2 linked regions of the Callithrix jacchus genome follow. The protein of the gene in region 1 interacts with the protein of each later gene in a pairwise test. Links are inferred from orthologs where the notes say so. Each region holds a gene or a part of one and is shown in the gene's direction. Other genes may lie near its edges.

Evidence for each region.
Region 2: the proteins of ARRB2 (region 1) and AGTR1 interact in a two-hybrid assay, tested with the Homo sapiens proteins (2 studies listed by BioGRID and IntAct, with this or other methods). The link is inferred for Callithrix jacchus from reciprocal best matches to the Homo sapiens genes ARRB2 and AGTR1.

What each region holds. Positions count from the first base shown.
Region 1 is NC_133506.1:106,268,550-106,272,296, forward strand, and holds the start of ARRB2 (beta-arrestin-2), read left to right. Parts: upstream 1-828; 5' UTR 829-918; coding exon 919-941; intron 942-3,747. UniProt on the Homo sapiens protein: Functions in regulating agonist-mediated G-protein coupled receptor (GPCR) signaling by mediating both receptor desensitization and resensitization processes.
Region 2 is NC_133518.1:36,555,161-36,558,907, reverse strand, and holds the start of AGTR1 (type-1 angiotensin II receptor), read left to right. Parts: upstream 1-1,077; 5' UTR 1,078-1,299; intron 1,300-3,747. UniProt on the Homo sapiens protein: Receptor for angiotensin II, a vasoconstricting peptide, which acts as a key regulator of blood pressure and sodium retention by the kidney.

The sequences.
Region 1 (3,747 bases):
CCTGTAATCACAGCTACTGGGGAGGCTGAGGCCGAAGAATCGCTTCAACCCCGGAGGCAGAGGTTGCAGTGAGCCGAGATCGTGCCACTGCACTCTAGCCTAGGCGACAAGAAAACTTAGATAAAAGAAAAATAAAAATAGGCATGGATGGATGGGTTGATAGATGGGTGTGGATGGGAGAGAGTGAGTGGATGTTACCTGGGATGAGTGGCTGAAGGAGACTGATAGAGAAATTGGAACAGGGAACCCTGCAAAGATCAAATGTAGACATCAGAGGGAGCTGACAAACTGCAGTAAAGATGTGGGAGGCCGGGCCACAGAAAGCGGCACGCTCCGAGGCGAGCGGACGAGCGGCGCGCACTGAAGCAAGCATCACGTAACTGAACCGCTCACCCACGTGTGCATCCCCTCTTTCCTCCTTCTTAGACGGCTCTCCAGCTCATTCCAGCAGCCCCAACATCCCCGTCGCCCCCGCCGCCACAGAGAAAGCAAACCAAAGGGAGGAGACCCCCTGCAGGTTTTGGATGCCCAGGGCCAATCGAAAGACTTCGATCCCCTGGAAGGCGGGTGCATTGGTTTAAGGAGGTCCAATCGGTTTCCAAGGGGTTGCGGTGGGGCGGGGAGATGGGCGGGAAGAGGGGGAGCGGGCCCCCTGGGACGCAGCGCGAAAGGCTGGGGGCGGAGCCAATGGGCGCGAGTGTCTGCTAGGAGAGGGCGGGCTGCGCCGCGGCGCGCGCGATCCGGCTGACGCATCTGGCCCCGGTTCCCCCGGACCAGAGCCGGGCCGGGAGGGAGGGGAAGAGGCTAGAGCGCGGAGGGCGCGCGTGCGCAGTGGTGCGGGGAGGAGCAGGGATCTTGGCAGCGGGCGAGGAGGCTGCGAGCCAGCCGCGAACCGAGCGGGCGGCGGGCGCGCGCACCATGGGGGAGAAACCCGGCACCAGGTAAGGGAGGTGGGGCCACGCGGCAGGGTATGGGCGGTGGCTCGGGGCGGGTGCTGGTACGGTCCCAGACGAGGACACAGCGGAGAGGATCTGGGGGCCGGACACCTGGGTCCCTAGGGGCAGCCATCCGGGGCCGCACGCGCAGGTCTTCGAGGATAATGGTGGGGGGGAAATGCCCGGGCCCCTGCAGAAAGCGAGGCTTGAGCGGGGGATGAGAAAACCGGTGTCGGGGTTCTCGCAGGGATGTGGGGCTGGACTACTGGGCTCTCCGGTGCAGGCTGCGTTGCAGGGACAGAGGAAGGAGGAGCAGGTGGCTGGCCCTGAGGGGTCGTGTACCGGAGGCTGGATGCCGGAAGGGGGGATCACCTCTAGACTCGTTCCAAGCCAATGGAAAGCCTCCAGTCCAATATCCCCCAGGCAGTTGCGCTGACCACACCTGTCCCAAGGCCGAGCGGCTCCTCATCCAAACTTCTACCTTTCCCTGGGTTGCCAGGAGCAACAGCTTCATCTTGGGGGAGCCGTGTGTGTGGCGACCCTCCCTGAAACTGGATCGTATCCCTCTCTCTGTGGGTTGTGGAGGCAGTATTCACCCTGGGCACGCGTCCACTCCCCGGATGTTTTCTGTGCAATCGAGGCTCTTTCCTTCCACTGACACCCTGAGTTCTCTTTTTTGGTCTCTAGCAAAATCCACTTCCTGTTGTGACTCAACACCCCCAAGGGGCAAGGGGTGAATGCCTGAGTCCCGGGGAGCAGGAGCAAAAGGCGAAAAGGTTGGGGCTGTAGGCCTCAACCCAGAGGGGCTCAGGAATGGGGATTGGTCCTGAGCTCTTGCTTGCTCTGCAAAACATCATGTCGACCCCACTTCCAACCTATGGAGTATGAGAACCTGGATTTCTGTGCATCAAGTAAACGAGTATCAGAAAGAGATGATCAGAGAAATAATCGGTGTCCTGGATTAGGGTTTAAACACCCCAGAGAAAGGGGAAGTTGCTGACTTGTGGGAGGCCCCAGATTTCCATTATGTGGTTCAGGGAGTGGGACAGATGGACCAAAGGGACTGCTGATTTGGCACAATTTCCTGCACCCCAATCAAATTCTGGGCCACAGGAAACAGAAGAGCAGGAAGTGTGAAAGGACGTCTGCTTCAGCTACCCCCTGCCTCCCACTGGGCACCTCCCTGGTCATCCCCATGCTCCCCCTCCTTGTCCAGCCTAGTATATGCACGCTGCTCTTCCCCAGCCTGGCAGAAGGTGGCTGGGTTAGGATCCAAAGGGCAGGTGCCTTGCAGCTGCTCCAGGACAGTTGCGCCAGAGCCACACTCCAGTGGGCCAACTGATTGTGGCCGTCACAGCCCTGTGCCAGGGCTCCTAATGGGAGGACACCCTGGGACAAAGGAAAACCAGAAGCAAAGAGGCAGGAGAACCTGGATGATGCCACGGCACTAAGCCCCCAAGCTGGAACAAAAGATAGGGTGTTTATTCTAGATGCCGCCATATTGATGTTTATTCTCCTTTATTGGTTGGGAATACCTGGGGGCCTCCATACCCTTTGCCTTACAAGCTTTGGACAACTTGACATTCTGGGAAGAAGGGGCAAGTGAAGTTGTAGCGGAAACTGGGCCTATGGTAGAAACTACTTTAGGGCCAAAGGCCAGGGTCATTGCTCTCCTATGTGCTCCAGCTGTCAGAGCTGTAGACCAGATGGGAAGATGGTTAGGTCTTACTCAGACACTTAAGCAACCTGCCCATTTGGGTCCTCTGGGAATGGGGTGGTAGAGTTGGAGGAGGGATGGGCTAGTTGGCAGGATTTCACTTTTTACTATCTGGGACCTTTTCCTATCTCTGCTGAGGCAGAATAGAGTAGAAGCAGCAAGGTGGTGCTTCAAAGAACAGACCACAATTAACTGGGGTTGCCAAACCCTTCCTTACCCAGCCATGGGTGGAATCCAGGCTGAAGTTGTTTCAGCAACTGGAAAGCGAATACTCTTCAATTCAACAAACTATTAATGCCAACTGCAGAGACAGATAGTATAATATTGATTGAGAGTATGGACTTGGAGCCAGACTGCCTGGGTTTATATGAATTCCCACCATTTACTCTCTCTGTGACCTTAAACAAAACACTTGACCTCTCTCTGCCTCAGTTTCCTCACTTATAAAATAGAGATATTAGGACCTCCATCACTGGGTTGTTTTATTTATTTTATTTAATTAATTTATTTATTTTTGAGACAGAGTCTTGCTCTTTGCCCAGGCTGGAGTGCAATGGAACAATCTTGGTTCACTGCAACCTCTGCCTCCCAGATTCAAGCAGTTCTCTTGCCTCAGCCTCCCAAGAAGCTGGGATTACAGGCACGCACCACCACACCCAGCTAAATTTTGTATTTTTAGTAGAGGCAGGATTTCCCCATGTTGGGCAGGCTGATCTGGATCTCCTGACCTCAAGTGACCTGCCCACCTCAACCTCCCAAAGTGTTGGGATTACAGGCATCAGCCACTGCTCCCAGCCTTCTTTTAATACGCTTAACCCAATGGGCCAGGTGCAGTGGCTCACGCCTGTAATCCCAGCACTTTGGGAGGCCGAGATGGGCGGATCACCTGAGGTCAGGAATTGGAGATCAGCTTGGCTAACATGGGGAAACCCCGTCTCTACTAAAAAAATACAAAATATAGGGCAGATGTGGTGGCTTAAGCCTGTAATACCAGCCTTTTGGGAGGCCAAGGCGGGTGGATCATGGGAGGTCAGGAGTTCAAGATCAGCCTGGCCAATGTGGAGAAACCCCATCTCTACTAAAAATACAAAAATT
Region 2 (3,747 bases), on another chromosome or scaffold:
TCAAATTATTCTCTCCTAGCTACTCTGAAATATACAATAGATTACTATAAACTTTTGTCACCCTGCTCACCTATCAAACATTAATTGATTTTTGGTAAACGAATACTGCTTTCTGGCATCAATCTCGCTTGACCACGGTGTATAATCCTTTTATTCATTATTGGATTCAGTTTGTCAGCATTTTGAGAATTTTTTTTTTTTCTTTAGACAGAGTCTCGCTTCGTCGCCAGGGGCCAGGCTGGAGTGCAGTGGCACGATCTCGGCTCACCGCAACCTCCGCTTCCTGGGTTCAAGCAATTTTCCTGCCTCAGCCTCCTGAGTAGCTGAGACCACAGGTGCGCGCCACGACGCCCAGCTAATTTTTGTATATTTTTAGTAGAGATGGGGTTGTTGAGAATTTTTATCTATACTCATAAGAAATGTTGATCTGTAGTCTTCTCGTGATGTCTTTAGTTTTGATATCAGGGTGATACTGGCCTCATAACATGAGTTGCGAAATCATTCTTACTCTTCTATTTTTTGGAAGAGTTTGCGAAGAATTTATATTATTCCTTCTTTAAATATTTGTTGGGTGTTTTAAAATACATTTTTTAAAAATGCAACTTAGGTAGCGTGTCCGATAGGGGGAAATGATTGTCCACCCTTCAATTTCATAACCCTGGAATTAATCCATGTAATCTATGATCCACAACGGTATTACCAAATTCAAATTACTCGTAGGAAAGAGAAAGAAGTTCCCTAATTTGTCCTTAAAAGTTTTCCAAGTTCAAAAAAAAAAAAAAATGTTGAGGAACATAAATCTCCGCCGGAAAGGATACTCCTGTACCCCCAGCTCACTCTCCCTCACGACCCCTCGCTAGGCGGGGTTCGGGGCCAGGTGAACGCTGATCTGATAGCTGACACGGGACCACTGTGGCATCCTTGCTGCCGTCAGTATCCTAAGAGGGAGGAGGTTGGGCCGGGAGGGTCTCCCGGGGCGGGGCGGAGGAGGAGGGAATGCAAAACAGAGCCTCGTCCCCGGAACCCAAGAAGCAGCAACGCCCCTCACTATAAATTCGGAGCTGTCTCCTCGCGGATGATTCCTGCTCCTGACAGCCAGAACCCCAGGCACCGAGTGACAGGACGTCTGGACCGGCGTGCCGCCAGCAGCTCTGCCGGGCCGGGGCGGTGATCGATGGGGAGCCGCTGGAGCGGACCCAGCGAGTGAGGGCGCACAGCCGGGACGCCGAGGCTGCCGGTGGAGACCCGCACCAGCGCAGCCGGCCCTCGGCGGGACGTGACGCAGCGCCCGGGGCGCGGGTGAGTCCGCGCCGACCGCCGGGCTTGCTTGGGGGACTACAGGCGTGGGGTGCTAAGTTTTATGTCACGGTGTCCTAACTGCTAGCTCTATGCTGGGAGGTTTTCGGTGACCAAGGAAAGAGCGACCGTAGTTCTGGTCAGCGCCTGCCCCTGGAGCTGGCCACACTTCCCCAAATCAGGTGAGGGGCTTCTGGAATGGGAGGGAACAAGGGGGGTTTGTTTGCTACCTGCCCTGAAATTCGCAATCCCATTTTGACCAAAGTCTTCCACGTGCAAGCAAGAAATCTACAGAAATAATTTACAATTCAATAAACTTTCTTCCTGAGGCTTTTAGTTAACTCTTGTCTTTTAGCCATCATCTGAGTGGGAAGCCAATATAACTCTGCAGAGCGTTCGTTTGAAAGTTGTGCTACTTTTGAGGCGAAGTTAAGAGTGTCCCCATCCATGCCCTTTGCTTCCCAGACAATGTCCCAGCACGGCTCACCTCCCCTTACCTCTCTCCCTACAAACCATAGCGGTAGGTCCTAGACACGGGACGTTACTCCAACCTGGGCCAACCTCTCCCACCCTCAGGCTTCCCAGATGCCCTTTGAATGATCAAACTGAGGAAGGAGAAGCAGGAGGTCTCCACACCCCAATCCCTACAGCCTTAGCCTGTGTGTATGTGTAACTGAAACAGGATTTTAGCAAAAGGTCTTCTGGCTTCCAGGACTAAACAGAGCCTCTGGCAGGCCACTGCTCACTCACCGCTCGGCACTTCACTCCATCCTCCAATTTTCTTAAATGTCCAGGTTAACGTCTTCACAGTACCAGCCTGCTAGAGCCCCCTCGAAGACAGCAGCAATTCTTCCAAGCGTCTCCTTCTGCACTGCTTTTAGGGCTACCACTTGTGACCTGGCTGTTGAACTCACCTGGACCTTTTCTCTTCGTTTGCTAATAGCCTCGTTAAGTATTAAAAACCTACTCCCAGCCCTCAGGTGCCTTCTCTTAATGAAAGTTTGGGTGCTCACTTTCCCCTAGGATCAAATTTGGGACTTGACTACATTTATTTCCTGTGTCATTCTGAGAAGAGAAAGTAACAGTAAGAGGCAGGAAATTCGGCACCCTACTGATCTACTTTATTACTTTGTTGAGAAACTTATGCTTCCTCCTGAAGGTGCTGTATCCCAACACGATTCTCTTGTTAGTTACCACCTAAGGATCTTGGCTCTCCAGGTGTTTATTTCCCATAGCATATTCTTTAACCCCCTTACAAGTCTTCTCTAAGAAAGAAACTGCCATACTGCCCTTGTTTTTTTCTGGTGTTTCCCTAGCTATAAAGGCCCCACGTGCATAGCCTGTTCTCAGGCTGTGATGTATTCCGTAGTGATGCCCTGGTACCTTCCTTCCTCTCCACCACCCTTCTTGACAGTGTAGGGTCAGGAAAGCATGGGGAGAAGGGAAATGGAGACTCCCACTTAACTGGCTGTGTGATAGCAGGAGCATTATTTAACAACTGTGAACCTCAAGTCTCTGCCCATAAGATCCCCTCCAGTGATATAATTCCGTAATTTCTTTTAATTTTTTTCTGGTGATTGCTTTAAAATAAAAGTCTAAGCTTAAGGCTAGGTTATAGAAACTGCCAATCATAATTGCTAAGTCTCAACATCTGCTTAAGTTTTGTGATTCTTAGTTTCAAGTCTGTTATCCACTCTGTCTCCACCTGCCCTCCCCCTGCCACACCCCCCCCGCCCCGCCCCGCCCTGCACCTTTTTTCCTCTGACTGCATTGTTCTTTACTCCCATCCTGAGGCCTTGATTTCTGGTTCTGCTCTTTGACCTTAAACTGAATGAACTGTTCCATCATCCAACTCAGAAGAAAACTGGTTTTCTTTCACTGGTTCCACTGATGCCAATGGAAGACTTGTCTCCCTTGCAATTTGCAAAAATGTCTTTCAGTCATCGGTGCTGTGGCAATGCTCCTGTCCCACAGCATTCTAAGTTTAAATCTTTTTCTCTCTTACCCTGGGTCAGTATTCAAAAAAGGACAAATTTGTGGGCTGAACACTTTTCTCAGTTTTCTTTTTCTTTTGAGTTTGGGGTCAGAGTTGTGTGTGTATGTGTGTATATAATTTTGTTTTGGTTTTTTGTTCCTCCTGCTACTTAGGACGGCTGTTGTTATTTCGACTATGACTAATTAATACTAATGACTAACTTTCTCCTACCCTAGGGGGAAATAAGGAAGACAAGTTTAATCTGCTCCTTCCCCAAAGCCCAGGAAAAATACTTAGCTGAGAAGGAATTTAAAACTCATAGTTTAAATGCATGATGCATGTCTGCTGTCATTTTATGTGTGCTGCCACAGTGCCCTTTCAAACAGATAACTGAGAGTTGCTGTATTTTGCTTTTGAATTTGTTACAGGGACAAAAATAGTGACCCCTCACATTTACGTGTTTTGGCTGCTTAATG